2 linked regions of the Caenorhabditis elegans genome follow. The protein of the gene in region 1 interacts with the protein of each later gene in a pairwise test. Each region holds a gene or a part of one and is shown in the gene's direction. Other genes may lie near its edges. The genes, in order: F08F3.4 and add-1.

Region 1 (13,464 bases):
TTTGAAGGATGTGCTAGATATGGAATGTCCGCACGATGCTCAGTTGTTTGATCCGAACAGTAACAGTACGCAGGCATTTCTTCGGAAACTTGCACATTTTCAAAGGTTTGTTAAACTATTTTTTGTGCACTTCTTTCAAAAAAAGAAAAATGAACCAATGATTAATTGTCAGATGGTACCAGCCAATTCACGGATATGTATGTGTGCTCATCTGCGTTTTTGGTATCTTCACCAATTTTGTGCATGTGGCAGTTTTATCGAGACCCAACATGCGCAATTCGGCCGTCAACTGCATACTGACAGCAGTGGCTGTCTGTGATATCGGAACAATGGCATCCTATCTCATTTATATTATACATTTTGTCTTACGACGAAATAATTCCTGGTAATTCTTGTGTGTTTATTGGGTGGAAATGTTTTTGTTTTGGGAAATGGAGCGGCGTGGCGGCTTTTGAGTAGGAACATCAACAAATATGGAATTTTTGGAAAAATAACACAAGCTTTAAAATATTTATTTTCTGGTTTTTCCTATTCCAATTTTATGGTGAATTGCAAAACCCGGAAAATGTCGGTCACTTCATAAAAAGGATGTAGAGTTCGAAGGCGCTGATTGGTTTAAAAATAGTCATGGCTTCTCATTTTGGAAAAATTCAAATATGAAAATTCGCAATTTCAAAAATTGGACATTTTTAAATCTTTCTCGATTTTTTAAGTTTCCTTTTTTTTTGATTATGCAGCATATATTTGAATATTTCGAATACTTTGAAACAAAATCCTTATTTTCCAAACTCTACCTCAAACCATTAATAACAAGAATTCAAACTAAGTGTGCTCTTTCTATTGAAAATTTTGAAGGATATTTATATTCTTCTATTTTTCCACTCAAGTATCAACACACACACACAAAAAAACATCCTCAAAGTAATAATGGAATTTCAAAAGTTGAATGCCCATGTTCGTCACTTGCTGCACTTAATTGAAGAGGCATAGAATTTTAGTTGAACCTGGAACTATTTATTTCCTCCTATCCGTTTTATGTGCATCAAAACATGAAAACAACTGCATATTTTATTGATCATAGGAAATTTTGAAAATCGTCACAAAGCTACAAACTACGTGTATTCATAAATAACAAAAGTGAATTCAAGATGAAAAGTCGCTCGTAAAATGATACTGAAAAACACGAAAACAAGCGTTTGCAATGAAACTCAATAATTTTTATTATTAGATTTTATTACAGCACTCCAACGTTCACTCATTCTTGGTTACAATTCCTATTGTGGCATGTTGTTTTGAGCATCACACTACACACAACTTCTTTATGGCTCGCTGTGGCGATGGCGTTCATTCGGAGGATGACATTAAGGGTTACCGCTTTGAATAGGTATGCTGGGAGCAAAGTTTAAGGGACTAACATTTTTTTATACACTAAGATGAACAAGTTTTGTAATGAAAGTTTTCAAAATTTTTTTCAAACAATGGTAGGTATCCAAAAATATTTAAAATTGAAATTTTACAAAGACATTGCAAGCAATATACCCAGAAACGTTGGCCCCCTTAAAAAATCTGGAAATTTTCAGTCAATGGCAACGACCAAAGTTCGCATGGAAGTTGTGCCTGGGAATCTATATGGTCGTATTTGTACTTTGTATTCCAAATATGCTGGTCCACGAAATCGCCCGTGTAGAAGGAAATGACTGGCGACCTGGCAAAACGTGTCAAAAATTTGCATCGAACTACTCTGAACCGGTGTACACTTTTATGGTCAGCCACGCGGCGACTATCAACAATTGCCGGTTGTTTAAATGGAATATTTGGATGATTGGAATTCTGTTCAAGGTTAGCGAGTACGCGAGTTATCAAATTAAACGTCCTACCAGTTTTCAGATCATTCCATGTATTCTGCTAATTTTCTTGTCTTTCGGCCTTGTATCAAAGATTAGAGACGCAGAAAAGCATCGGAGGAAACTAACGAGTGTTCCGTCAAATGCATCAACAGATTCAAAACCATTGAAAAAGTATAGTCAACTCTCAAAGAACTTTTATGACAAAATGGAAATTTTCAGAAAGAATGGAACATCAGATAGAACCACATTGATGCTTGTTGTTATTTTATTGGTATTTTTAATAACGGAGTTTCCACAAGGAATCATCTCGATTCTTTGCGCAATTTTTACTACAGACGTTCATAGGTAAGATTTGATGTTTAACTAGAAATTTGGCCTGGAAAAACTGAAATCGAACTGCCCCAAGCTTGACCCAATTTTTCTTGAGTCATTTGAATTTTTGGAAATTTGGGTGCAGGCTGAGTCTTGCAAAAGTGTTGCTAAATTTTTGTTGGCCCAATTAAAGCTAAAATTGGGCGCTAAAGAAGTTTTCGAAAAATTAAATTTTCCATTTCAGATACCTCTATTTCTACATTGGTGATGTTCTTGATCTCCTATCGCTTGTCAATTCCTCTGTAAATTTTGTTTTATATTGTGTGATGTCTTCAAGATACCGGCAGACGTTTTGGGAAGTTATCATTCCTTCGTGGGCTTGTGGGTAAGTTCATTCTTATTGAACCAGTTCCTGTTACAGTAGTCTAAAATAAAATTTTTCCTCTCAGATTGTGGACGACCCGTCGTGGTTCTCCGACGGAACTTTCACAGCTTCAGTTGAACAACAGCTTACGACTAGGAAGGTCAGTTAATTTGTTTTTGAAGTCTGGAAAATATTATCTTTAATTTGCAGAAAACAAAGCTATACGCCACTGGCAACTGAACCGGAACCAGCACGCAATGAGTATTGGCGGTATGAAGCTTCCGTGTCGGACAATCAGAACAGCAGTAGAGAACATCAACTTTAAATTCCAATTTTTTCGATCTCGGTACAAATTCCCTTTGCAGATTTTTTGTGATATCTTGCTCATTTTCATAGCTTTCGCATTTTCTATTCTATTCTTGTTACGGGTACTTTTTGTTTTTTATTAATTCAGTTTTTATATAAATCAATATGGTTTACAAAATTATTAAATTATTCACGGCGCCGTGAAAAAAAAATTGTTTACAAAAAGACACGTAGATGTGAGTAAAACTAGGAAAAAAAATTATTTTCAATTGAAAGTGATTTCCGAAAGGTGAGTTCTCTTTTTCTCTTCCAGGAATCAAAAGTTAAAAAGGTTTGATGTTTTAGATTATGAAAGACGACGTCGTTGACAACATAATAATTGATGTCCTGAGCGCTAGTACTCACGAAAAGCTACTTTCCGAAGTGATCACGGAAGGACGAGTTCTAAAGCTTCTCGATTTGGCACTGGATGTATTTAAAAGACAGAAATCAATGGTTGAAATGAATGCTCCGATAAAGGTGTGCGGTGACATCCATGGACAATTCCCGGATCTTCTTCGTCTCTTCCATCGTGGTGGATGGCCGCCGACTGCGAATTATTTATTCCTTGGTGACTATGTGGACCGTGGAAGATTTAGCATTGAAACCATTGTTCTTCTTCTCGCTTATAAGGTTTGTTGCTTTAAGTTTTGCAAAAAGAAGCTAGGATCAAAAATTGTGACGCGCCAGAATTAATCATTGACACAAAGAATGCCAAAACAGGGGATTTTTGCAGAGACCGCTTAGATTTTCCAAAATAAGCGTACACATGTGATAAATAAATGTGTTTTCAAAAAGAAACATATTTATTGTCCATCACATATTGCTCTGCAAAAAAGTGCGCATCTCTCAAGTATCAAAGTGACAGAAAGTTGATGCTGCTCCGATGAGCTGTCAAATTTGAAAAATGACGTCAACTGGAGTGATGGATCTTTTGGACGTTTATTTCTCTCTCCCGATCTTCCAAATCCCATGGCGTGAACTTCTTTGAAACATTTTTCAAGTCATGATTCCAGGTGAAATTCCCGGGCAATTTATTCTTGTTGCGTGGAAACCATGAGTGCGAGTTTGTCAACAAGGTATATGGATTCTATGAAGAGTGTCAGAAACGCTATCAAAGTGTTCGCATGTTCACGGCTTTCCAGGTAAATTTGATTTTTTACCAAAATTGAACAATAAGGTGCAATATTAATACAGGAAAAACGGTACTTTCAGGACGTATTCAATTGGCTTCCACTCTGCGGACTCATTGCTAATAAGATCTTGTGCATGCACGGAGGACTATCGCCTAGTATGTCAAAGGATTTCACTTTGGACAACCTGAGAAAAATTAATAGGCCATGACGGCAAGGAGAGACTGGTAGCTGATCTTTTGTGGGCCGATCCTATTAGTGGTCTTTCTGGGTTTATGGTAACTTTCTGATAAGAAAAGATCGATTTCATCAACTTTATTCAGGAAAACAACCGAGGTGCCGGGTGTGGATTCGGAAGAGATGCTGTTCTGAAAGTGTGCTCCGATTTTAAGCTTGACCTGATCTGTCGTGCCCATCAAGTTGTTCAAGACGGTTATGAGTTCTTTGCTGGTCGGAAATTGGTGGTATGAGTAAAAAAAAAGTGCCGAGAGAAAGGAACATTAAAAATTTTTAGACAATCTTCTCGGCTCCTCATTACTGTGGTCAATTCGACAACTGTGCTGCCTTCATGTCTTGCGACGAGAAGCTTCAGGTAAAAATTTTTAATTGAAATGTTGTAATAAATGTGCATTCTTACAGTGCTCGTTCGAAATTCTCCGTCCAACGAGTGGCCGCCTTGAAGTTCGCGAGAAACCATTGCTCAAGGATGAAACAAACTGATGGATGGCTGATTCATAATTTCCTTCAATAAATGAATAGACAAATAAATGTGGTTTTGATATTATTTGTAAAATAATAATTTAATGTTTAAAAGTAATATTTGAAATTTGGCCAACAACCTGCCCAGCCAGCTTGACAAACAACGACACCTTTCCGGTAGAAATTTTCACCAACTTCCCGTCTTTTTTGAGAGAAATATTGCAGTGGAGATCTTAACAGTGGTGATCCCAACAGTTATCCCAAAACTAGAATACCACAACACTTTAAATTTTTAACTGATTTTTCAATCTTACCAGTCTATGTTTTGATCTTTTTATCCAAAAAATTGAATTTATTAATATTTTGAGAGACCTCAATTAGTTATATTGGCTTCAGATCCTACATTTTTCAATCATCGTGACTAGCTGAAATTTCTAATTCGGATAGTCCAGCCAAGGCAAGACGGGTGTCATATGTTAGACTTTTAATCATACAGTCACGCTTGTTATTATATCATCCCACGTGGCATCTAGTCAGTCACACTACTATTAGTCACTCTACTTACTCTTATAATTTTTTCAAAAAAGCCTACGAAAATCTTTAAAATCTGAACAATCTGAGTACATCCGTACCAAAACTGTATCCCAAAGTAACTTTTTAACGAAACACGTGTTTGTCTCTAGGTATGCGTTGGGAACAAAAAAGGTACATACTTATCTTTGATTCGTCTCTCTAGCAATTGGGGGGGGGGGGGGGACAGGCCTTCAGCAGGCAGCATCCGTCAAATTGCGTGATAATTGAATTAGACAATGACCACGTGTGGGAAGAGGACAAATGAGTGTATGTCTTCGTCGTCGTCGTCATCAAGTTATAAGATCAACCCTCCACCCATTTCGTTGAAATCAGAAGGCGTCGATGTCTAAGTCTCTGATCAGGCGACCTCACTGGTTCCTCTTTTAAGAAAATTCCCACATAACTACACTTGATTTGATTACTCATTTTTCTAACTGTTAACTTTTTTGATTATCAACTGTTCTTCGTCTGCTTCCGTGTCACACAAAAAATGAAAAACTTGCGAGTTTTTGGAAGAATTCACAATGCCAGAAGAAACTATTCACCTTTACCAGTTGATCCTTTATTACGGTTTAAAACAATCAGTCAAACACAAAAAGCTCCTCGAGTTTTAATCACTGGATCTCTTGGGCAGCTTGGAAGAGGTTTAAATTCAGTCTACAAGTACATGTATGGATCTGAATGCGTTGTTATGAGTGATATTGTTCGTCTTCCTGCAAATGCTACAGATGTTTGTAAGTTGAAACTGCTTTCCATATTTTCAACAGAAAATTAATTTATTGTGTATTTTAGCCGACTACAATTACCTGGATATTTTGAATCAAGGATCTATTGAAGAAATCGTTGTTAACAAAAACATCGACACAATTGTTCATTTCTCTGCACTTCTATCAGCTGTTGGAGAAACAAATGTTCCGTTGGCTCTGCAAGTGAATTGTAGAGGAGTTGAGAACATTTTGCAAGTTGCTGCGTAAGTTCCTACTTGTATTGGACTATATCTTGACATTGTATTGTTTCAGAAAACATAAGCTAAAAGTGTTCATTCCATCCACAATTGGAGCTTTTGGACCAACAACTCCAAGAGAAAACACTCCAGATCTTACAGTACAATGTCCTACAACCATTTATGGAGTCAGTAAAGTATATGCAGAACGTCTCGGAGAATATTTCAATCATCGGTTTGGGGTTGATTTCAGAAGCATGAGATTCCCGGGTATTATCTCAGCGACAAAGCCAGGTGGTGGAACTACTGGTGAGTAAAATTATATAATAATTAAACGAGAATTTGAAACTTTTTTCCTTTAAAGATGAAGTACGGTCAATTCTAAAATGACCAAATATTATAATAAAACTTAGAGAAAAAAATTTGAAAAGGTGAAATCTCAGTTTTCACCTATCTTTTGCAAGTCGTCGATTAAAAAATCAGAAAAAAATTTCTTACAGCTGTTTGATTATGTTGAAAATGTTCATAGTTCAACATTGGGATTTGAACATGCAACAATGTTTTAGATTTTTTTTTTTTGAAAAATGGCAAAACTCAGTAATTGCCACTTTCTGACTGGCAATAAAAATTTTCCAAAAACTTTTGGAAAAGTTTTACTATGAAATTTGGTCCTTTTAGCCCTATATGAATGGTTTCGAATTACTTCCCAACTAATTTTTGATACGACCTTTTCAATTAGAAAGGTTTTGTAACACGATTAGAGATAATTTCCTTGCAGACAAACGGTATCAAAAAGTGGTCAAAGTTGATCAGTTGATACATTTTTGAAAAGAATATTTCTCACGTACACAGTCAAAACTATCCTCCTTTCAGACTACGCAATCCAAATTTTCTACGACGCTCTTCAAAAAGGCAAGCACACCTGCTACCTTCGACCAGACACACGTCTTCCAATGATGTACGACACTGATTGTATGGCTTCAGTCATTCAACTTTTGGCTGCTGACAGTCAATCATTGAAGAGGCGAACATACAATGTAACGGGATTCTCATTCACACCAGAGGAAATTGCTGATGCAATTCGAAGAGTGATGCCAGGTTTCGAGATTGATTACGATATCTGTCCAACAAGGCAGTCTATTGGTAGGTGATATATGATCATTTTTGCAAGTGGACTTGCAAAAAGAAATACCTCTTTTAAAAAAACTAAAATAATTTTTTTCAGCCGATTCATGGCCTATGTCATTGGATGACAGTGAAGCACGTAAGGATTGGGGATGGAATCCAGAATATGGTCTCGATGAAACTGTTCAAGTGATGTTCGCATTGCTGCGAAGAGAAGAAGACAAACCTACAAAGATTGTCAGTACTGCATAAAAACTGGTTATTTAGGCATTAATAAATCATTTGATCTACTTGTTGCAAAAATAAAAGTGATAGAGAGAAAAGTTTACACTTGGAACGGATAGAAAGTATCAATGGGTGCAAAATGGGTGTATGACACAAAAGCAAGTGGTCATTTGAACAGCATTTCAGTTAACTGTGGGGTTATGAGAAGAATTAGAGTGCAATTCATGAACACGGTTGTATTTTTGTCAGCAATTTAAAAATTGACACTTGATTATTCAGAAACATCAGTTGAGATGAAAGAATATGCGAAAATCGAATAAAATTTATTAGATGTTAGTGATACATAAGGTTGAGAATTAGAGTGAGAAACAACAATGTGATTGAAATGAAATGATGGTGTAACAGTTGTCAACTGAGCTCAACATTCTCTGCTCCACTCTTCGTTTTGTTTCTGCTTTGAAGGTTGTAGCTGGGAATCATAATTTACAACAAAAATGATTTCAGGTAAGTTTCACACATATATTTTATATATCAAAATATAAAAATGTTTTTTTATTTCTAAAAAGCAAATAATTTAGTCTAAATTTAAAATTCTTGGGTTCTTACTTTTAAAACGTTTTTTACAAACCAAACCAATTAGAGCAACTAATTGAGACATATTTTCATACACAATTTCCATAATTTACGTTCAAAATTTTTGTTTTCAGGAAATCCATATTTAAACATTCAAGGTCCTTTTGGAAACTTTTCAGAAAATGAAAAAAAGCAGACTTGTTTTAGGCTCCGTATTCAGGTTTGGCTTGCAATTTATTTTTTTGCTTCAGAAAATTTAATTTTTCAGACCTGGGTTTACATACATTGTGGGATCAGTATTGCTACCTCAATAATTGGAATCACGCTTGGAGTATTACTTTTGGTCAAAACAGAATGGCATGAGAAATTGTTTATTTATAAATTGACGTTTGCAGTAAGTTTTTTTTCAAATATTTAACTTCAAAAGTGGAGAAAAGCAATTCGGTATTCTGATTTAAACCATAGAAAATGGACCGTAATGGGCAAATACAATTGCCAAAAAATTGAATAAATAATTTTCCAAAAATGTTTTTATGATTTTTCAATTTTTAAAAAATAAAAAGGGCTAAAAAAGGAAAAACGTTTTCTGGCTTAACTAAATGGATTTTCGCTAAAATTCGAGCACAATCCATGTAAAATCTGTTTGAAACCAAAAATTGGATGTGGGCCGTATTTGTAAATTTTTTATGTGAAGCAGTTTTCGAGCATTTAAAAAATTTAACAAAAACCAGTGCATTTTTGTCCAAAAGCAGAAAATGCTTTCATGAACTTTAACATTTTGAAAGTTAAAAAAAATCAATTTTGTTTTTGCAGTTAATATCGACAATATTGACTTTCAATTTGCTTTTTTTTATACTTTTATTCAAAAATATATTATGAATAACCTATTTGAACAAACTCTCAAGCTCGACAAGGAAATCTAATGACAGTAAAAACTGTCTGAACCAAGAATGTCATATTTTAAAATGTTCATACTTCTCTCCCAAGTAATTTTTCATTTCAGTACATCCGACGTGCTGATCCCGTACGATATTGGATTGCATATCGAATATTTTTCGGTTTTTGGATTTCTCTGCATTCTCTTCACTTGCTTTCAATAATTTCCACAGTTGTAGCTGTACATGTATGTTTCCTTTTCAGATTTTCAAATATCATGTCTTTTAGAAAAGCAACCTAAAACTTCTTAAACCGCAACTTTTGGTTCTCGTGCTTCAAATTGGGCTCTTCGTTATTGCCATTTCAAGTTTAGTCGTGTACAGTATGACTGGATCTCGCGTTGCTTGGTTTACCCTGATAGTTATAATATTTCATACTTTATTTGCATGGTAAATTTTTAATTCTTAAATTAAAAAATATCCATACAACCAATAAAATAATTTCCAGCACAAACTTGTATCTACTCGCAAAATTTCATCGGTTTTTGGACGAGAAATTGATGATTCTAAACGAAATTCTGAGCGCTCAAGCAAAATCGGTACACTTCAAGGACGACTCATCGAACTCTTAATTGATTAATTGAATTTGATATTCAATATTGGAATTTCACTTTGTGAACGTATCAAATCAAATAAATTGATTACGGTTTTTCTAGAAAGCAAGACTAGCGGGCCTATGGGCCCGCCAGCCCTTCGGGAATGGGGATAGGGTTAATTCGCTCTAAGTTATTAGCAAGGTAGCTGGCGCAGGTTCTCGGCTTCGCCTCGAACCTGTTAACGGGTTATTCGAGATCTCTTTGAAATTATTTCAGGAGTGGGGTATATGTTTAGAAAACTTGACTATTCAGGTTTGAGGCTTCGCCTCGAAGCTCTTACTGTGTAAGCGGCCCTCGAACCTGGTTGTTAGGTTTGAGTAAATAACAACCGCGTCGCAGGCCTACAGCCTGCTCTGCTTAGAATAGGATTAAAGCCAGCCCACAGTTTTCAAGAGTATTCGGGCCTGCGGCCCTCAAACCTGGTTATTAGGCTTGAGTGAATAACATATCTGCTTAGAATAGGATCAAAGCCAGCCCATAGTTTCCAAGAGTGTTCGGGCCTGCGTCCCTCGAACCTGGTTGTTAGGTTTGAGTAAATAACAACCGCGTCGCAGGCCTACAGCTTGCTCTGCTTAGAATAGGATTAAAGCCAGCCCACAGTTTTCAAGAGTATTCGGGCCTGCGGCCCTCAAACCTGGTTATTAGGCTTGAGTGAATAACATATCTGCTTAGAATAGGATCAAAGCCAGCCCACAGTTTCCAAGAGTATTCGGGCCTGCGGCCCTCAAACCTGGTTATTAGGCTTGAGTGAATAACATATCTGCTTAGAATAGGATCAAAGCCAGCCCATAGTTTCCAAGAGTGTTCGGGCCTGCGGCCCTCAAACCTGGTTATTAGGCTTGAGTGAATAACATATCTGCTTAGAATAGGATCAAAGCCAGCCCATAGTTTCCAAGAGTGTTCGGGCCTGCGGCCCTCAAACCTGGTTATCAGGCTTGAGTGAATAACATATCTGCTTAGAATAGGATCAAAGCCAGCCCATAGTTTCCAAGAGTGTTCGGGCCTGCGGCCCTCGAACCTGGTTATTAGGCTTGAGTAAATAACATATCTGCTTAGAATAGGATCAAAACCAGCCCATAGTTTCCAAGAGTGTTCGGGCCTGCGGCCCTCGAACCTGGTTATTAGGCTTGAGTAAATAACATATCTGCTTAGAATAGGATCAAAGCCAGCCCACAGTTTTCAAGAGTATTCTGGCCTGCGGCCCTCAAACCTGGTTATTAGGTTCGAGTGAATAACATATCTACTTTTTGGAAAATCGTGAACGCCTGTGGGCCCCCAGCCCTTCGGGAATGGGGGTTGTTTTAGAAAACTGAAAATAATAAAAGCTTTCTAAATCAAACTTATCTAAGAGTAATCGCATATCAGGCCTCCGGCCTGCCTTGGTATAATGATTTCAGGTTTACTGCGTCTTCTAAGAGTAAGAGTGCCTGCGGCACTCAATCCAGCCAATCTGGGCTTAAAACAGTTGTAATCGGACAGCAGGCCTCCGGCCTGCAATGCCTGAAGTATATGTTCAAAGTGAACTTCTTCTTAGAGGAAAAGTGCCTTTCTATGTTTTTTTTGGAAAGAAAACATTTTCCAGCCACCCGCACTCATGCACTCTCTTGTGAGGACAGGCGACCTGTGAACAGTTATGCACTAAAACTTCAATCCGTCATAACTTTGCTCATAGTAGAAGTTTGAAAAAAATAAAATAATTTTTGAATTTGGCGTAAAAAGTAGAACAATACGGCGGTTATTATTTTAAAAAAGAACAAAAATTGAAACATATCCCCTTCTGGGAAGGCCTGGAAGCTCAAAACTTCCCTAAATGTGCTCAAAGTTGTCAAGACCCACCAAATTTAGTTTGTCTACCTTGCTTTAGTGAAAATTATCAAAATGAAAACATAAGATCACAATTTTAGTTGAAAACTTGTCCAGGAACAGTGGAAAACTGGATTTCCACGTGCAAAAATTAAATAACCTATCTCCGCGAAAAATGATCGGATCGAGCTGTGATTTGAGATTTCATTTTAAATCATTCTATTAATTCTAAATTTAACATAAAAACCGGAACGATAGTGGAAAGTTTGTGAATTTTATGGAAAAATGTAAATTGCTTGAAAGAAGTGTTCATTTTTTCTATTTTTGAGACTATTATTTACCTTTTTTGAAACAAAAAATTATATTTTCCGCTTCCTCTCGATGTGATGAACATTTTTCCAAAAAAAAAATTTGGAAAAAGAGCAAGACTAACGGAGATTTGACCGAAACAATGGTGAAAATGTGGCCGAAAACACACCAAATATGAAAAGGGGAGGTGGGTGTGTGTGTGTGTGTGAGAAAAGGGGGGAGGTGCAGAAATTTTGGCAAAACTTTAATTATCGTTTTTAAAATAACGAATAGAGATATCACAATGAACTTAGATACAATGGATAGGCATTGAAAAGGAGAACTTAAGTTTCGAGTCTCAAACGTTTTGAACATAAACTCGAATTTTCCTTCAATTTAAAGTGGTTTTCGGCCAGTACTTCGGTGTGCGCAAAAACAAGAGGGGTGTGGTTTTCCGCTTGTGGAGCCGACAGGATGCTCCAAAATCAACCCCCTTTTAGATGAACACACGTCGCTATATTTTGTGAATGTAGAGAAAAGAGAATTTCAAAAATCGGTTCCGTGAGAGCCGAGATATAAACGTTCAAAGTTGTATTACATTTTTTCGGACATTTTTTGAACATTTTTTGAACACCGAAAACGCGTGTGTGTGGCAAGATGGGGGTTTTAGGAAGGAGGCAGATGTATTTTTTAATTTTGCGACCATTTGCCCGCGATTCTTTTTTAAATATAAACGGAATAATTCAATAATTATGAGCAATTGGATCAGTTTCAATAGGATAGAATTGACTACGATTCCTCATAGAATCTACTTATAGAATCTATAGAATCATAGAATCTAGATTCTACTGAGGAGAGTGTAACTATCAAACCAACTGTCAACTCACGAAATACGTGCAAAATATCAAGAGAAAGAATACAACCAATTTTTTAAAACATATTAACTTTTTTATTTGAAATTCGTTTTTTTTTCATATTTAAAAAATATTTGTAGAGCACCAAAAAATCGAAATGTTGCACCCGCTTCTTTTGCAGAATCATCGCGTTGTGAATTAATATTAATCGTTGATATTAATCAATTGATACATATAAGGAAATAATTTTAACATAGTTATTATAAACCAATTAGTTCAGAAATTCACCGGAACATGCTTAGATGTTACACGATATTTGGGATTATATTCCGGGAAACGTTCGTGCCAGACAACAAACATAAATGATTTTGGCTTGTTCACAATTGTGGCAAGCATTCCGTCTTTTCTTCTTCTAACGTCGATCTCGTCTCGAGCTTTCATGATGTATGGGCATTCGAGGAAGTCCATTCTGAAAAGAAAAATAACAATAAATTTCACTGATGACCATAATCAAAACTCACACAACATTTTCATGTCTGCGCTCCGGATGCCATCCCTGAATGTCCAAACCTTGGATGATGTGTTTGGGATGGAAGCCAGAGTTGTTATTGTGGAAAACCTCAAATCTTTGCAAGTTCGGACAATATCCGGACACCCAGCTCCTGATGAACGCGTTCATATCTTGAGTAGTAAGCTTGTGAGAGGCCAGCACGAGTCGAGTGAAATTCAGTCTTAGGAGTATATCACAAGTTATCCAGTCTCCATTGATGAAGCACACACGGTTTCGAGTGAAGATCTGGAAAGAGATTTATTGAATTTTGCGGTTTACAAAATGTTTGTGTTAGTGAA
Region 2 (17,270 bases), on another chromosome or scaffold:
TTCAGTGTATCTCGGTGTGTCTCACCAACATCCTTGCAAAACAAGTCGACCATCAGAGGTACCTGTTGGAGCGGGAAGCACGGCGAAACGATCGACGGCGAAAGCGAGATCATAACCGTAGAGATCAACTGAACTCGTTGGATCTACTTGAAGAAGGAAAATTCAACAACGCTTCTGCTAATGCCGTAAGATTTTATAACACTTTTTGCAAGTATGATGTACTCCATTAGTGAAATTAGATCATTCTTTGAACTACGTGATTGTTTAAACTTCGTGATTTTTCACGCAAATGTTTTCAAAAAATGCAAACAAAAAACTCGACATTTTGATAATAAAAATAAAAAAATATATTAAATCTGCCCGCTCCTCCTGCAACGGATTGCAAGCTTACAATCTTAATCATCGTTCTTCCAAAGAGTTTTTGTAAACAGGAGGATATTATGCACGTCATCATCACATCATTTCTCACCGCGGGGGCTACTAAACTGCTTGTAGTTTCGCAAGGACCAGCATAGGGCATTTCTCTTAAAGCTTCTCGAAAACCACCAAATGAATTGGAAAATCAGAAAGATGTCTGAGACCATCTTTGTTTTAAAAATATTGTTTTCAGACAAGGCCGAGACCACCGGATATTCCGCCTCCGCTACCACCAATTGAGCATGTGCCGAGGAAAAAGTCACGAAACGCGAGTAGCTCTCCAACTCGAAAGCCCAAATCTGCTGGGGTTGAAAACGCGGCAGCTCGTCGAAAAAGGACTGCGACAACGACTCGAACACCTCCTGCCGCGGCAGGACCCGCGCCAACGCCACAGGCAACCACGACAAATCGAACGCATCAATGGGTACTGCAGCAAACCGATTTGGTTCCTCAAAAAAGCAAATCATAAATGTTATAGTAAATGATATTCAAATTTAACAACTGTTTCAGTTTCATACATACCAAATCTTTCTGTCTCGAACGCGGTGATATAACTTATTTTAGCCTCCCATTTCTTTCTGCCCCCAACTCAACCTCCCCCCCACCCCATCTCTCTTTCCAAAAATTCATCTCCTATCTACCTAGACCGATTTTTAAATTTGCCATACACAATCTGGTGCTCCATAGAAATTTGTACCACTTTCTTCTTTCCGCTCAACAGAGTTGGCCATGAGCAACAACTTACTTTCAAACATCGTCTTTTCTTGTTTCATACTTGGGTCGCCAAACAAGTTGCCTATTCATTGTCCGGAATTCTAGCCATCGCTTTACACTTTTTAGCTTGTTTTTTTTCTAAATTGATTCCTCGATGTTGTAAATAAAGAATTTCAAACATTCAAACGACATTTATTATTAATATTTCAAATTTCAAAGCACAACAAATTCAAAAAAAAGTTGGTCGCTTGAGAGTTGACATTCCTGAAGATTTTGCTTGCTTGATCCGTTTAACACATTGCACTTGTTTGACATCCACCTGGAACCAAACTTGTATAGTTTTACATTTTTTAAGTTTCAAAAGTGTACCTTGAGTACAGCAGTATCCCTTTTTCATGCAATATCCTGGGTGGTGTCCAATCTAAACTTCCGTCACATTATTACTTATTTCAACATGCTAAATTCAAACCTTGCAAAAAAGTTCTGGGCAAACGGCACTGTAGCTGCACTCGGTTGACATGAAGCATTCCTCGTTGGTGCAACACCTTCCCTCAGAAATACAAACTCCTTCGTTTTCTATTCCTAAATTAGAGCATAAGATAATTTTTTGTTCGGATTCCTTTAAATTTTTAACTTACCACAACTGGAACAGCGAATAGTTCTACCATATCGCCTGTACGGACAAGAGTTCAGGAAACAAGCACTAGCTAGGCCGATCGAGATGGCGAGTACCAGGAGGATAGGTGAGGAGCCCATGTTGGAATGGAAAGTGAAGATTGAATGACAACGAATGGCTCTTTCCTCCTCGCCTGGATTTTGGATTTCATCGCAGCTCCGCCCCGCTGATAATCGTCGACTTAAACCGCTTTATTACGACTGAAATCCGCGCGTCTTGTTATTTGGCGATAAGTCGACTCACGCGTCCTTCATGTATATGACTAGCTTTTTTCTTTCATATTGAAAGCTCTGAAACACGGATTTAGTGACAGTTTCTTGGGATGTGTGTCAAAACAAGTCAGGACGTGGGTTTGACAGAAGTTATCAATTCAAGTGACGTGACTAAGATTTGATTTGAAAAATAATTTCAAAAAAAATGCACTAAATTATTTCAAAGGATCAGTAACGGTTCTGGGAATTTTGAACGTGTAAACTCAAAATGTGCTCAAATAATCGAAAATAGTAATTGTTCAACTTTGTTGTACGGCGGTTTGTTTTCCGTGTCGCAGCTGTCTGAAATTTACTGTTTTAAACTGTCATTTTTAAATTGCATGTTTCGGTCGTTTACCAATAATTTAAGCAAAGCCAACTATGACACGGGACAAAATTGAAGGTTTCTGTTAAAATTTGGTTTTTTTTCAAAATATTGAAGTGCCATAAAAAAACGAGGGAATTGCAATTTCAACCCTCCAAGCTTTTGCAAAGCTTTGACAATTCCGGGTAACTCGATGAACTTTACAAGTTTTTTCCAGATGGTTACGGACAGAGCCGTACTGTTAACCTGGCTGAGCTGATCGGTTTATACTCATTTTTTGTTTAATGCAGCTATCTCAAAATCACATACAAAATTCGTCTAAATAATAAAACCAATTGGCACATGACAAAGAAATAATTATTAGGATGTTATAGAAACATTCGGGGTACGATTTCTAAGAAGTAATATACCCTCACACAATTTTAGCAATTTTGGCAGAATTTTCTTTTTTCCAGATATTTTACAACCAGGAGTTCCCAAATCTGCCAATGGATATATGGATATAAGGATATAAGAATTGTCGAAAATAAAACGTAAAACGTGTATTTTGCTGTCACCGTTTTTTTTTAGATTTTTGAAATACACTTCAAATCAAAAAAAAATTATTTTTTGACACTTTCAGAAGAATTGCAGACTTCGTCGATTGCCAAAAACTTCCGAAGGTTTCAATAATTCACAAGTTCCCAACAAAATTCAAAATCAGGTTACAAGGTGTTTTTTATGAGCAGAAGTGAAGCAAAAAGTGTCAAAATTTAGGGCATCTGTTTGGAAAATGTTTTTGTCGTTATTGAATAGAAACTCACAATATGAATCTGTAGTTTGCAATGAAACAATTGTGACGTGTTATAAAAAATCATATGAAAAGAGATTACGAAAATTGAGAAAAAAGGAAGTACAAAAAAACAAAAATGTTACTCAAAATATACTAAATCCGCATCCAGATTACATAGAAGTTCATTGATGTAAAAGTTTTACAACTCATTCACTCACTCAGAATCTACAGACTTCTGACATAAAATTAAAACAACAAAAAACGGCAAAGTGAACATTCTCCAGTTTCGAATATACGCCAAATAGCTAATTCATCAAATTTGGAGCGCACATTGGTAAGTGTTTGAAAAGATGCGGCATTTGCTCTGGGGGATTGCCGCGACTTCACGACACCGATTTGTCATCTGGAGTCAACTGGCATTATCTGCTGCTTTGGTGGTATACTTGTTGCTTTTACGAGCACGTCAATGTGTTACATGCTCATAAATTAGAGATTTTCTACAATCATTATTGCCAGCAACAAGTTCCGTTGTTCCAAAAAAATTGTGTTGTCTTAAGAGGAGGGGCCCTTCTTGTGTCTTCTCCGAGATTCGTGCCTCTTTTTGTCTTTTAGTTCTGCAGAGACTAACTGCGTACTTTAAAGCGACCAATTCCGTACTACTAGAAGATTGCTCTAATTCCATTAGGCTACATCTTTCAAACTGCCGCATCTGGGTCACCGTTACTTTTCCCCACTTTTCTCCCAATTTTTCCAACAAATCCGTTTTGAGCACTCAATCTCGAGTTTATCGTGTTTTGATGACTGTTAGACGCGTAAACGCGTAACACATTTCCAATGGGCATCAGCGTTTTTTTCTTCTTCTGAACAACTTGATAGATTGTTGCGTATTCTATCTTCACCCGTCAGCTGAAATGCCGTTTTTTTCGGAGTGCCTTTTTTCGGTAAGACCTTGTTGCTCCACATTTTTTTCACGCGTAAGGGACTTTTCTCGCTCGTTGTGCATGAATTTTTGTCTCGTTGCCCTCCCATCCTCTCCACTCTTCCCCCTGCTTTAAAGATTTGGCCCTTGTTCTTCAAAATTTTCTGCAAGCAAAAAAAGATAGAAGGAATATTTTTCTGGTCCCCTCCTCGCACCCCTCCATGCTTATTGGCTTTAGCCAACAGGATCATATTTCTAAACGCAATTATCTACTTTCAAAACGATCTCATGGCATCTAACTGAAAGTGTGGTTGTGGTGTTGCTTCTTTTATTTCTATCTATCTTATAGTTTTTGTTTCATTAGAAAAGTACACTAATCGTTACTTACTTCTGTTAAATAACTCAATAATTGGCGTCTTACCATTCCTTCGTTCAATTAGTACTGCATGCAAGCTTTAAATATATTTTTGTAAATTTGAATTTTTCTTTCTTTCATTTCTGCAAGAATTTCCAGCACTTTCAAATAAAGAAAATGTAAAGCAAAACAAAACACGAAAATTTCGAAAACTTTATCTCAACACAACAAAAGTGCATGCAGAAACTTCTAAATTTCGGAAACGTTCATTCTGAGAAACAATTTTTGAGAAAGTCTCAAAATAGGAAGAGTGACTAAATTGTATGGTCCGACATTTACCTGGTTCCCTAGACTAGTTTTGCAGGGTTAACACAGTGCGGCGCGGGGCCCGGTAGATGTCGGACCAGACATATCTTTCACACTTCCAGTTTTATGGTTTTCTATAGAAAAAAAAAGTCCCTCGGGTATGTCTTTAATTTTGGAGTTTATGCAAACATGAAATGCATATTTCTGTTTTATTTAGGAACATATAACATTTCAAACATCTCAAAAATAAAGTACCGTATATTCTCTATTAGTGCTGCAAGCAGCACTAATTTCCAGGCCCTTTTTGAGTGCAGCACTATTAGAGACTGCGGTACTAATTTTCGAACGACTTTTTTCAATTGGAGATCACTAGTTTTTAGTCACAAATGCTCATCTTTTAAGCAGAAATCCATTAAAATTGAGAAATTTTGTAACAAAAATGACCCAATAATTCAATTATGTTTGTAAATTAACTAGAAATCTTCAAAAATATACAAAAAAAACACTCCCCAAAATGTCAAAACTATTGAGTGACTCTTTCAGTAGAAAATGGGGTGCAGCACTAATAGAGACTGCAGTACTACTGGAGATGCAGCACTAATAGAGAATATACGGTAACAAGGTGTAATAATGTTTGCGGAAATGTAGTAATTCCAGAGTTCGCCTCAAAAGCACTTTTTCATTGAAACTTCGAAGCTATCATTCTCTGATCACAAAGATTTAAAAATATTTACAACCACAAACTGTAAGATTCTTTGTTGCCGGATCCATGTTTCGCCAATGTTATTGTTGGACGATCTAATTATTCAAACGCACTCTCTCCGACCGCCTTGGGTTCTTTAAACGAAATGCAAATTCGAGTGCGTGTAAGATAGACCATCGGGCGGCTGGTGCATGGTCTGACAAATGTTCTATTCCATGCCTCCCATTTCACACTTCAACTCATTATTTGTGTGTGTTGTCGGTCGCTACGAAATGCTCCAAATGGCACTATCTAGATGACAACTGATAGCACATCTTGTGTACTGCTCCTCTTTTTTGCAGAATAGTTTTGTTCCGAAAAAGTTTGCCTGTTCATATTCTTCCACTTCTCGCTTTCCAAACTCTCTTCTTCTCAATACGTTTTATTCTCTCTTTGCCTTACGGGCACATCAAATTTTTATGACAACTGTTTCGAGCAACGAGTATTGTACAGTAACGCAGCGAGTTTATCGATTCTTTTTCTCAGCGTTCTCTGACTTCCTATTTGATTATTTGGTTTTCCACGCAAAACTGAATTCAAAAATCATATCACTGTTGTTGAGCTTTTGTTTTGAATAGCAAACAGTTTAGCTTTCGAAATTCGGTGTTTTCAATGAACCGTAAGGCGTGTTTCGTCTTTTCTCCAAGCCAAAAGATACACAACAAATGAACACTGCCTTTTTGAGTCTCCAGAAACCGATAGACAACCTTGATTTGAATAAAGATTCTGTTTCGCTCAATTGACAGCAGCGATCTTTTTTCAATTCTTTCGTTTTTCTCACTTTCTATTTACTTCCCTAACTTTTCTCAATAAAAGTCTCCAAGAAGGGTAATTGATTCAAGGTGAGGAAAAAGGGCGAGAGATACATGTTTTGTTTTCCTGTTTTCTCCACTTGTTCTTTTTATCAGATCTATTTAATCAAAAAGGTTAAAACAAATAGTTTGTTTTACTATCGTCACCATAGGTGTGTGTGCGTGTGTGTTTGATATAAGATTTAATCGCAATTCGGCATGTTTCTTCTATTGTTGCCGCATTGGTTAAACACCAGTTTGGGGTTTTTTTGGAAGAGTATTTCAAGTTTCTGAAAGTTAAAGCATTTCAAATTTCAGACTAAGAATTTTACAGTAAGTGGTATTATAAATAATTGCATTGACCGCAAATTATTGAAAAAGCTTAGAATTTTTAAATAGAAATATTGTTTCAGCATTTCGTAGTAGTGCTGCAATATTATCTTATCGGAATAATTAATCTGAAAAGTTCAAACCGATTTTTAAATTTTGACAAATTTATTTTGAGTTATAAAACTCTGTTTGCGGAAAAATGGTTACTTTCCCAAAAAGTAATGAAATCTCACAAAACTAATTGGCCTAGCTCAATTCGAAAATTTCCACTTCCATTTTGCTTCACCGTTCTTTTTCATTTGAGCCACCCTACTTGTGCACCACTCGGACAAGTGCATTCTATTTATTCCATTTTCTTTTCATTGTGATTAACCATCCTGAATAAAATGTCTTGGGTTTTCTGCTCGGCGCCTCTTTCTATCTTTCTCCAAAATAGAGTACATGTAGACTTGAGTTTCTTTTCGGTCTTCCTTTTCTTCCCTCATTCCTTAAATTAGATTTGACATAAGAAGAACTTTATCGCAACAGGCGGATACCTTAAGGTTCTCATTCTTGTTTGCCGTTTATCGCTTCCATCGCAGACAAAAGTAGTGTGTTGGAGAATTTGACTGACGCAAAAACCACAAACATTTTAGGGTCAAATTCACATTTCCAATTAATATTTTTCAATATTACCGTTTGCCATGCTTCATAGGTAATTAGATGTATACACTTTCTCATGGCAAGTGTGCCACCCGTAGAGCAAATGTTATATAACGCAGGAGGTATGCAATAACCAAATTTTGTATACAAATCAGATGGCTCGCCATCGAATAGTCTCACGCTGAATGAACTATTTTTCGATCAATTCATGCTTTTTAGTACAGCTTTGTGTAAGCTGTGTGCTAGTAGAAATGTCAAATTATTTTCATGAAATTGTATACATCCGATTTAGCATATCTTAAAAAATCCTTATTTGTAAATACAGTTTCCGATAACTTGTGAACCCTTTTTTACTTAATTTGATATTTCAATCTTTAGTAAGTTCAACTGTTAACACCTTTATAACAGTTTTTCATCTTGAAAAAATGTCTAAAAATTTGACAAACAGAAATTTAACGTTAAAAGACCAATAATGAAACAGGAAAACAAGACAATATCAAAAGTAGGCCATCCATTTGCGCGGGAATTTAAACATAATTCAGAAAATCATCGCACATTTAGAATAATTTTATTATTTTTATTTTTAAATTCATATTTGTACACTACATCCCATTTTCATATTTGCAAAGTAATGTTTACTTTTCTAAACTTTGTGATTTTTTCTTGAATTTCAATATTTCAATCTCATTTTCAATTTTCTTAAACTTCAATAAAGTTTCAGATGATTGGAAGAAAAGAGAAGGAACGGGAACGTCCATACTATCGAGACCCAGATGACCCTGAATATATCAAAGATTTGCAAAGACCGGCAGTAATCAAAGTAAGTGCTGCTCCAAGTTTTTCCGTAAAAAAAACTAGAGCACATCAAGTTTTCCCTCCTCAGCTCTCTTTTTTCTCTTTTTCCAAGAACTTCAATTAATGAAACCTGCCATTATTAGCGCAGTGTCATTTTTTGAAAAGACTTGGGAAATTGAATGGAAAATGCAAGAGAAGAAGAGAAAGGAGTGCTCGCTCTTTAATCAGCTTAAAAGATGGATGAGAAATGCTCTATTTTAGGAGGATTTGTCAGAGATGGAGAGACGGAAAAGAGTGCAACAGATACTTGAATCAAAATCATTCTGCCACGAGCTAGAAGAAGTTATTCGTCAGGTTTGTAATTTGTCTTTTTTCTCGTTATTTTGTTTCAATAAATGTAATTTTGTACAAAACATTTTACATCTAGGAGTGTGATACAGCACGTACGGATCCGGATCACTTGCAAGTACTCCAGAAACTTTCGGACCTCACAGTTCCACAAGGAAACATGTCGTTTGGCAACCTTCACACATATGGTTTGTATTATATTTTGGAATAATGTATTCGAAAAACGGATAACTTGGTTTTTTTTCCTTATTTTGACAAAAGAAACTCGATTTATGCTTATTCACACGAGGAGTTACAACATGTTATAATGCAGAAAACTTTCCTATACGAATTTTAGCTATGCTGAAACCTTGTGACACAAAAGTAGATATACTTTTTTTGTTTTTCTAGTAAAGTATTATAATATCAAAAATCTAAGATTCCCATGCATAAACAAAATTGCAATATTTTTACAAACTTGAACTTCTGTAAGTTGACAATTTCCGATAAATCATGTAATCTATGTTTCAGGTGGAAACACCATTGCAATTGCTGATCTTCGTGGAAACGAGAAGTATTCAAAAGCGGAACGTATCCAGAGAAACAAATTGGCATGCTTGTTTCGACTAGCTGACCTGTTCCAGTGGTCACAAGGGATTCATAACGAAATCTCGGTAGGGTGCTTGAAGTATTGACTTTTTAAAATTACCACAAAAATTTAAAACTTGAACCTGTGGTTTAAAGTAAAATTTTGCAATCAACCAAATTTATTTTACAATATAGCAAATACAACGCGTGTAGAAATTGTATGAATTTCAACTTTATTAAAATACGAAACTTCTGAAACAGCTGCCAAAATGTAAGGATTAATCAGCTTTAAATTGGGATTTTTTTTGTTCAGTGTTGTGTTCCGGTTACACACCACTTTATTTTCCGACGTGAGTTAACTAGCAGGTCCATTAACGACGTGTTTAAAAAAATGTATTAAAATTATATTTCTATGAAACTTCTACAAAAGTAAAAACACCATATTTACCTTTCTAGAAGAATTTTAACAAAATTGATTTAGTATCGAACCAACGATGAGGATAACACTTTTCTGATGAATCCATTTGGTCTTCTCTACCATGAAATCACTGCTGCGACCATCGTGAAGATAGATGAAAATGGAAAAATTCTGGATTGCGGGACACTGAAAGCTGGAGTCAACCAGGTACCTTTAAAATCAAAAACGACTTATTTTTGCACTCATCAAGTTAAGCCTGCGTTTCTTCTTCATTCTGCAATTTACAAAGCTCACCCAATGGTCAGATGCATTCTTCATATGCACACGGCAATTGTGGCGGCTGTGGCTAGTATGAAATGTGGTTTATTGCCTCTATGTAAGGAAGCAATGGTGCTTGGGCCAGTTGGATATCACGATTATCAGGTTAGCAAAAATATTGAATTTGAAGAAAAACAATCACTTGTGTGGTTATTTTCATAATCTGAAAAATTTAAGTGTGAACGAGAGAAAATTGAAAATCTGAAGGTTAAAGAAACTAGAAGCAAAATCGGCAACCGTTTTTTAAAATTATTTTTTGATGATTTTTTTCCAGTCAAAGTTTTGGTACTTTGCCAAAATTTGAAAAAGTTTATCATGTAAATCGGTAGTTTTAGTACTTAAAGTAGATATAGAAAAGTTCATCGTCGACCTTCGAACGGTTTAAATTTTCATTAACCTTTCACATGACTTTAACTATAAAATCAAAAAAATTGTTGAATTTTCTTTTCAGGACATTGGTGATGATGATATTCAATTTGACGAAATTATTGCAAATCTTGGAGACAAAAACGTGCGTTAGCTTTACTTTGAACTGCTTTTCTATCCGCTTTTCTATGCTTCGTTTCAGGTCCTTTTCCTCCGCAATCAAGGATTCCTTGTTGTCGGTGACACTATCGAGCATGCCACTTTTCTAGCCAACAACACTGTGATAGCATGCGAAACTCAGGTTTTTGAAGTTTCTCATATTTAAAAATTACACGCTGCCCTGCCGCCAGTAGTTCAATTCTATCGCCAAATGCTTATTTTTTATGAAATGACGATGGGATTAAAACATTTAAGGTTCTGCTGATCAGAGGAGAAGGATGTTTTGTTGTTGGAAATTCCGTTGAAGAGACATCTATAATTATGCGCAACTTAGTCACTGCTTGTGACCATCAGGTTTAGAAAAGTTATAATAAATGAGAAATATTATTTCATATCAAATACAAAATACATAATCAAAGTTTCCAAAAACAAAATATTTTTGTAAGGTACGTGCCGCAAGGGCTGGACTTGACAACCTCATCATTCCGGAAGAGAAAGCAATACAAAGAGCGTTCAGAAATTCTCGAAATAGTAAGATTCTGCAATATATATTGAAATTTAAAATACATCTATAATGCTTTTGTAGCGAATTCCCTGAAACGAAATGGAACAGTTGATTGGAGAGTCGGAGAATTAGAATGGGAGTCTTGGATGAGAGTGTTGGATCATGCGGTGAGCAGAATTTTTTCGCCCTGCTCACAGTTGTTTCACTAAAAATTGCTACTAATTATAGAATTTTCAAACCGGGCACGTCTATCGTCAACCACAACTGCGGCCCAAATCTGCAATGTCTACGTCAATGGTGAACAACAATGATGTTGCTGTTCCGCCAACTACATCAGCTTATGGACAAATTGATGAAACAAACTTGGAAAGTGTATCTGCACATCGTCTGGCTTTACTGCGCAAGGAGCAGGAGCGGGTTCGTTGGATGAACAGTCCAAATGCATATCAGAAGGTTGAATTTTTGGAGTATGGAGCAGATAACCCAAAGAAGATAACTAAAGTAAGAACTGTTTTCAACTTTTGCAGTACGAAAATAAAATTTGTACATGAACTTCTGATGGTTTGTGTCATTATGTTTACACAGTTATTTTCATATAAATGTACAAAAAAATTTGAAGAAACATTAAATTAAAAACTATAAACAGAGATTTGAAAACCCAAATAGCTATGATATGGGTGGGCCCTACTAGTGAATTTTTGTTTTGGATAATTTCTATGTCACTAATTTTTGGATTGTTGTCATTATGCACATTATGAATACATGTTATGCTAACGCAATAAAAAAATGTATTTTTCAATATTGGAGTAGTGTCAGAAAATGTTCAAAATTGCTCCAATACCAACTATCGATTCAGGCTGTGCCTAATTGTGTTTTGAAAATTTTGATCCGCAATAAAAATATGTATTAAAGTTTTTTGAGAAGTCTCATTATAAAATTCGGTCGCATTTGGTTATTGAGTTCAAATTAAACATCTATGATAAATCATTGGAGAAAAAATTAATTTTAAAGTGTTTTAAATTTACACAAGTTCAAATCATTTCAGTGGGTTCATGACGTCAACGTTCCATCCGCGAGTGGAACCCCTGTCAAAATCAGCAGTGTTCATCAATTCAGTCCTGCGTCTTCAAATCCTAAAGAATTTAAAGAAAAACAAAAAGCTATCAAAGAAAACAACAGACTGGGAACTCTTTCTGCTGGACCACAAAGCCAGATTTTGGACAGTGTGACATATGAAGACATTGCACTATTGATTAAAGTGAAATATCCCGTCTTGAAAATTCATTTATTATTTTGTAATCTTTCAGCCTGATAATGACGGAACAGTCGGACAGAGCTCGACCGCTGACCGAGCAATACTTATCGGAACTGCCAGCAAGGGAATCATTGATAGGCAATTTCAGCATCATGCTCAGGTGTACCACCAAATCTATGCGCCGAATCCATTCTCTGTAGAAACTGATGCAGACATCAAGAAATATGTAGACATGGTGAAGGCCAAGAACTCGCAAAGCGCTCCTGTCTCAGCGAGAAGTGGTTACTCTCAATACGATGAGGTTGAAGCTGGTAAGGTAGCTGAAACAAAAAAACAGCAATTTTTAAAGTCGTTTTTGAAAACGAAAACTGAAATTCCTTTATTTAAAACGTAATAAAATAAAATAAACACTGCAAAAAATCCATGTTGTGTTGCGAGTTTTTAACTGAAAATCTGGGGTTCAAAACACTTGTGGGATGCCACTTGTTTTGAGTATGTTCTTTTTGGCTCCACTTACAAAATATATTTTTGAAAATATATTGCTGACAAAGGTCTAAAAATAGCTTCTCTAGTTGTAACCAGCCGATTTTCAAAAATTATTCCAGATACAGTTTCCTTAATGCAAGGAGTACGAGAACATAAACTTTCTCAAGCGGCTCTGAGCGCATCTGACGACGGCCTGAATGCCGGAATCTCCCCGAATAATGGTAATTTTTATGTGGTTGCTCCTTCACATTTTATCGATGCGCCTGTTTTCTATCGCTTTGTTTTCCAGTGTTTTAAATTATTTGAATGCCTATTTTCCATATTTCCAGTCCGAACTTCCGAAGAAAGCGTCAATACGTCGTACATGAGCCAGTCAGTTGTGTTCGATTGTAGGTTTATTTTCCTTATTCTTTCTGTGTAGCATGTGTGTGGTGGCTTCAAAGCTTTTTATAACTTTCACAGATTTTCTAACTCTTTGTGTACAGGCGATCACCCTTCTCCGATGTCAATTTCGACAGAGTACCCTGAAAAAGTTAAAATGACGCGATTTTCGTCGACTCAAGGAACAAGTGAAGGTATATTTGTAACTACGTGGTGTCTATTTGTGTTTTCACTTTTTTTTCGAGCGCATCAGCTAACTAATCAATAACTGAGTTGTAACATTTAGGCAATACAACGTCTCGATCGTGCACTACAGCGTCTGAAGAAGAAGTAAGAATTTTTGGAAGCAAATAGTTTTTCAAATGTTTCAAACTTAAAAAAGAATGAGGTTTCTTGCCATAAATAACAGAAAAACTATAAAGTAATATATTAAATTTTTAATAATGTTTTTTTTCAAATTAGAAGTTTTTTTTTGATATTTTAACAATTTCTGAAAAATTTTAAAAAAATTCAATGAAAAAATTAAACTTTTTACAGTTGTATTCTCTATATATAAACTGTTTTCTGTTATTTTGGGCAAAACCCCACTGACTCTACTCTACCTTCAAATAAGATTGAAATATTTGCTAACTTCTCTGCTTTTGGGACTAATCAAGCACTTATTTTACACCGTTTTTTATTTCAGAAGCCTACAAAAGATGAGAAAAAGAAGAAAAAGAAAGGATTTTTGTCATTTATGCGAAAAAAGGACAAATGAAAAATGAGAGTTTTGCTCTCACCTTGCTCTCACCAACACGTTCACATCACTTAACTCTAACACTTTTCGATAACTTTTTCTATGTTTTCTTTTCAATTTTCAGATCCGGATATACTACGCCCAATTTACCGTCAAGAAACATATGTCTAGTCTCTGGACTTTTCTTTCTTTCCCGTGAACTTTCAATTCCGGTTATGGATAATAGCAACACTCTGTGCTTTGTCTTTTGTTTTTCGAATATTTTTAAAATGTCATTTTGTACGCATATTTTTTTTATATTATGTATTTGCATTTCCATCAAGTTTTTTATACTTTCATCTATAAATAATTATATTATATTACAAAAAAAAGCCAGGACAGAGAAGAATTCGGCAAAGTGACTACGAAAATAGCTTTTCTCAACGAATTTAGCAGATTAAAAAAGTTATCCAGTTTATTTTTGGTTGTTGCTATAAAACTCAAAGTGCTCGTTTTCCAGACACTTTCCTTGGAATATATGATAGTTTTTACACACGTTAGATTATCGATTTCCACACCAACTCTAGTTTCAGCAAATTTCTTCGGGTAATCAAATTAACTTTCCTGTAAAAGTCTGAAAATTCGATAAATTATGCTACAAAACAGGCTTTTAAATATTTTTAATGAATGAATTTAGCCGGAAAAATGTTACAGCTAGATCATTTTGTGCAGGAAAAAAAATAAGTTCAGTCTTCTTCTATTTTTTTCTTTGCACAATTGAAAAACATTATTTTGATCATTGTATGACTTTTTACAGTTATGTTTGGAACATTGTGATTATTTACTGTCATTTAGGGTAAAAACCGCCTAGACATATTCTGTAGAATTGCAGAAAAAAATGCACAGCGCTCTTGGCCACTATTTGGCACAACGAATCTTACACATTTTGATTTTTAAATTGTTTGTTCTTGTAGAAATAACAAGTTTTAGTTTCAAAGTTTGATTTTTTGAATTAATGAAAATACTAATTTACGGATAATTTTATGGTAACAAACATGACACTGCACCATGCTGATAACAATATTTGCCTTCATAACCCTTCCGACAAACTAACGTCTGCCCATTGAGTGTCGCCTCATTCGACGGCAAATTGCCATTAATACATTCTCTGTTGTGTTGTTTAGACTATCCATCTGCGTCTCTTCCATCGCAGCGTTGTCTCGCAAGTGGTCGTGGCCGCGGCCGAAGATACGACTCGAAGATAAAAGAGTTGGACACTCTTTGTGTTTCAAACCTTATATTCTAATGTGTTTCTTTTAGTTTTATTCACTAAACTTCAATTTTTTGCTAGCCAGAATTTCCTTTTCAGTTGTGTGACAATGACTGATCCTGACATTGGATTTGATGACATTTTTAAAGAAATATGTCCAAATGAGTGAGTTATTTCATGGTTTGAAGTAGAAAATGAGTTATTTTACCTGTTTAGAAACGTTTATTTTGTTTCAGATTCAACGAATTCGGATTGAAACGTGAGATGCGTTTTATCAGTGAACGTATCATTGTTGAATATGACCCAACGGACCATTTGTCGGTGAGTTAACGAAAAATAATGACATGGAAGAAAATCAATACCTAATCTTTTTGTAGGTTCGCGAAATCATGCATCCGATGGACGCGTTTCGTAGCAGTGAACCATATTTTAAACATAAACTGACTGACAAATCGAAACAGGAATTTGTGACTGCAATCGACTTTCACGAACATATCACTTATTTTCCATATTCCAAAAATACCGGTGACATTTGCCTTGCCCGGTATATTAGTAATTTTAACGATATCAACTTGTGAGTCCGGAATCGAACGTTTGTCAACTTATCATCAATTTTACAGCACCAAAATCAGTGGTCAAAACCTTTGCTCATTGCCTGGTGAAACCATCTACGGGTTACGTGTTGGACGACTCGACAAAGGAATGCTTGCTGTAAATCATAGAACAGATTCTTCTGTGTAAGTTGCATTCAAATATGTGCGATTCGAGCAAGGGTAGAATTGAAAAAAAATCAGCTATTAGTCGAAAAGAAACGGCATAAGTTATGTCTTCCCTAAGGCTTTCATATAGGCGCCAAGACGCCTGCCTGCCTGTTTTTAAAGCAACGTTTGCCGACATCGCGCCTACCCGAGCCTGATGCTAATACACACGAACTTTTTTCAAAACTTTCTTAATGTGATTTTCATCAACATTTATTAAAATTATTCAATCAAAAACTTGAGCATAGACACCAAAGTGCAGGAAAAAGGCGGCAGGTAGGCATTAGGGTGCCTGCCTATCATGAAAGCACCCTATTTTCGATTTACAGCTATTCATATTCCAAAAATCGTGATAAAAGGACGTCAGTGGCATTTTTTATAATTATTATATAAAAACATTTTTACGTTATCCTAAGAAGTCTGAATGTTACACGCGATAAATTCCAAACACAATCAAACATATTTTCAAATCAAATTAGCATAAAACATCACGCTTACACAATTTTGTTTGCATTTAAATTGAAAAAAAAAACTACATGAGTTATGTTTCAAAAAACCCGCGAAAACATTTTCGGAAATAAAAAAATGAGAGAGGGGGGAGGCAGTGAGAGTGATTGTTATGGAGACAGTTAGCCTAGAAATGGAAGGAGCCCCCGCGGGTCTCACCACGACATTGGCGTGATTGCGTAAGAGATGATTATGTTTGAATATTACTCTAAATAAAAACATTGAATAGTAATTTTCAGAAATAGCACAGTAACCGTCATTGATCTTGTGAAACCAGCACGGAATATTGCTCACTACGATTCATATTCCCCTGTAAATACTATTGATTGGATTTGGTAGGTTTTTTGTGGCCTTAAAATGTTTTATAGTAATTTCCTCTAAATTTTCAGGCATGGCCCATTTCTTCTTGCTGTTGGAGATGATGAATCACTCCGTGTTATGGACGTCCGATGCCCAAAAGCTTTCAATGCAGTCTTCTTCGATGGTGGTGTTCAGAAAACAGCTCTCTGTTCGACAAGACCCCTTGAAATTGCTTGCTGGAACGGATCCAACGTCCTCCTGTACGATGTTCGGCGGCCAGAAGTGCCGTGCGCTATTTATGATATTGGACTTGAAAAAAACGAGAGCATACTCGATATGAAGTTCAATCCCTATATTACCAATGAATTATTTGTACATACTAACAGCCACCGCGTCTTTGCTATGAATATGAACCCAACTCATCTAATTGGAGGACGACCGATTTCTGAAAAACCATATCGGAAATGGCAGGTCATTACGTTTAAGCACATTGACAGAGGATGCACTGCAACTCGGCACACAATGTTGCGACGCGAAAAGTGAGTAGTTGAATTCTTGTAATCATTTAATTTTCAATTATCTTTTAGAATGCCTTACGAAGATGCAGAAGTACCGTTACTGGGTTATTACGGGCAGTATGAAGCGGCAAAGAATGACCCACAAGTTCCGATTCCTACTTTGTGGACTTATCCTGCCGAAGTGGTTGGTGTTTCTTTCAAAAACCGAACGAACACTTGTACTTTTTCAGGACATGAAGTTCCTGGCTAAAATTCAAGACGTCCCTGAAATTGATTACGAGTCATATTTGTACAAAGCAGTTGAACGAGTTTCCGCGGAACGAGATTTTAAAATTCACAAGCCAAAGATCTTGTACCAGGCAAA

Evidence for each region.
Region 2: the proteins of F08F3.4 (region 1) and add-1 interact in a two-hybrid assay, tested with the Caenorhabditis elegans proteins (one large-scale study listed by BioGRID).

The regions. Positions count from the first base shown.
Region 1 is NC_003283.11:5,405,351-5,418,814, forward strand, and holds F08F3.4 (L-threonine 3-dehydrogenase, mitochondrial), read left to right. Parts: upstream 1-5,604; 5' UTR 5,605-5,763; coding exon 5,764-6,007; intron 6,008-6,065; coding exon 6,066-6,243; intron 6,244-6,292; coding exon 6,293-6,525; intron 6,526-7,089; coding exon 7,090-7,359; intron 7,360-7,441; coding exon 7,442-7,593; 3' UTR 7,594-7,651; downstream 7,652-13,464. Other genes in the region: dmsr-7 (G-protein coupled receptors family 1 profile domain-containing protein), read left to right, coding at 20-105, 173-385, 1,241-1,384, 1,581-1,839, 1,888-2,018, 2,067-2,192, 2,404-2,544, 2,609-2,683 and 1 more; C25A6.1 (Serine/threonine-protein phosphatase), read left to right, coding at 3,178-3,501, 3,885-4,013, 4,084-4,159, 4,206-4,279, 4,325-4,465, 4,516-4,593, 4,641-4,721; F08F3.10 (uncharacterized protein), read left to right, coding at 8,061-8,070, 8,274-8,359, 8,408-8,533, 9,143-9,262, 9,304-9,464, 9,523-9,646; F08F3.6 (F-box domain-containing protein), read right to left, coding at 12,892-13,084, 13,137-13,411.
Region 2 is NC_003284.9:4,850,728-4,867,997, reverse strand, and holds add-1 (Adducin-related protein 1), read left to right. Parts: upstream 1-7,954; 5' UTR 7,955-7,961; coding exon 7,962-8,060; intron 8,061-8,296; coding exon 8,297-8,389; intron 8,390-8,462; coding exon 8,463-8,571; intron 8,572-8,893; coding exon 8,894-9,036; intron 9,037-9,155; exon of another isoform or gene 9,156-9,305; intron 9,306-9,431; coding exon 9,432-9,575; intron 9,576-9,623; coding exon 9,624-9,791; intron 9,792-10,137; coding exon 10,138-10,197; intron 10,198-10,254; coding exon 10,255-10,353; intron 10,354-10,657; coding exon 10,658-10,742; intron 10,743-10,797; coding exon 10,798-10,883; intron 10,884-10,944; coding exon 10,945-11,217; intron 11,218-11,761; coding exon 11,762-11,974; intron 11,975-12,023; coding exon 12,024-12,282; intron 12,283-12,576; coding exon 12,577-12,678; intron 12,679-12,786; coding exon 12,787-12,846; intron 12,847-12,942; coding exon 12,943-13,032; coding exon of another isoform or gene 13,033-13,106; intron 13,107-13,124; coding exon 13,125-13,168; intron 13,169-13,523; coding exon 13,524-13,595; and 4 more. Other genes in the region: tsp-14 (Tetraspanin-14), read left to right, coding at 6-185, 611-886; ntc-1 (Nematocin), read right to left, coding at 1,422-1,450, 1,501-1,552, 1,601-1,713, 1,770-1,887; F39C12.1 (GATOR2 complex protein MIO zinc-ribbon like domain-containing protein), read left to right, coding at 14,933-14,988, 15,060-15,144, 15,201-15,397, 15,444-15,560, 16,328-16,423, 16,478-16,927, 16,976-17,090, 17,137-17,270. UniProt on the Caenorhabditis elegans protein: Membrane-cytoskeleton-associated protein that promotes the assembly of the spectrin-actin network. Plays a role in time-dependent memmory loss and the retention of conditioned behavior over time.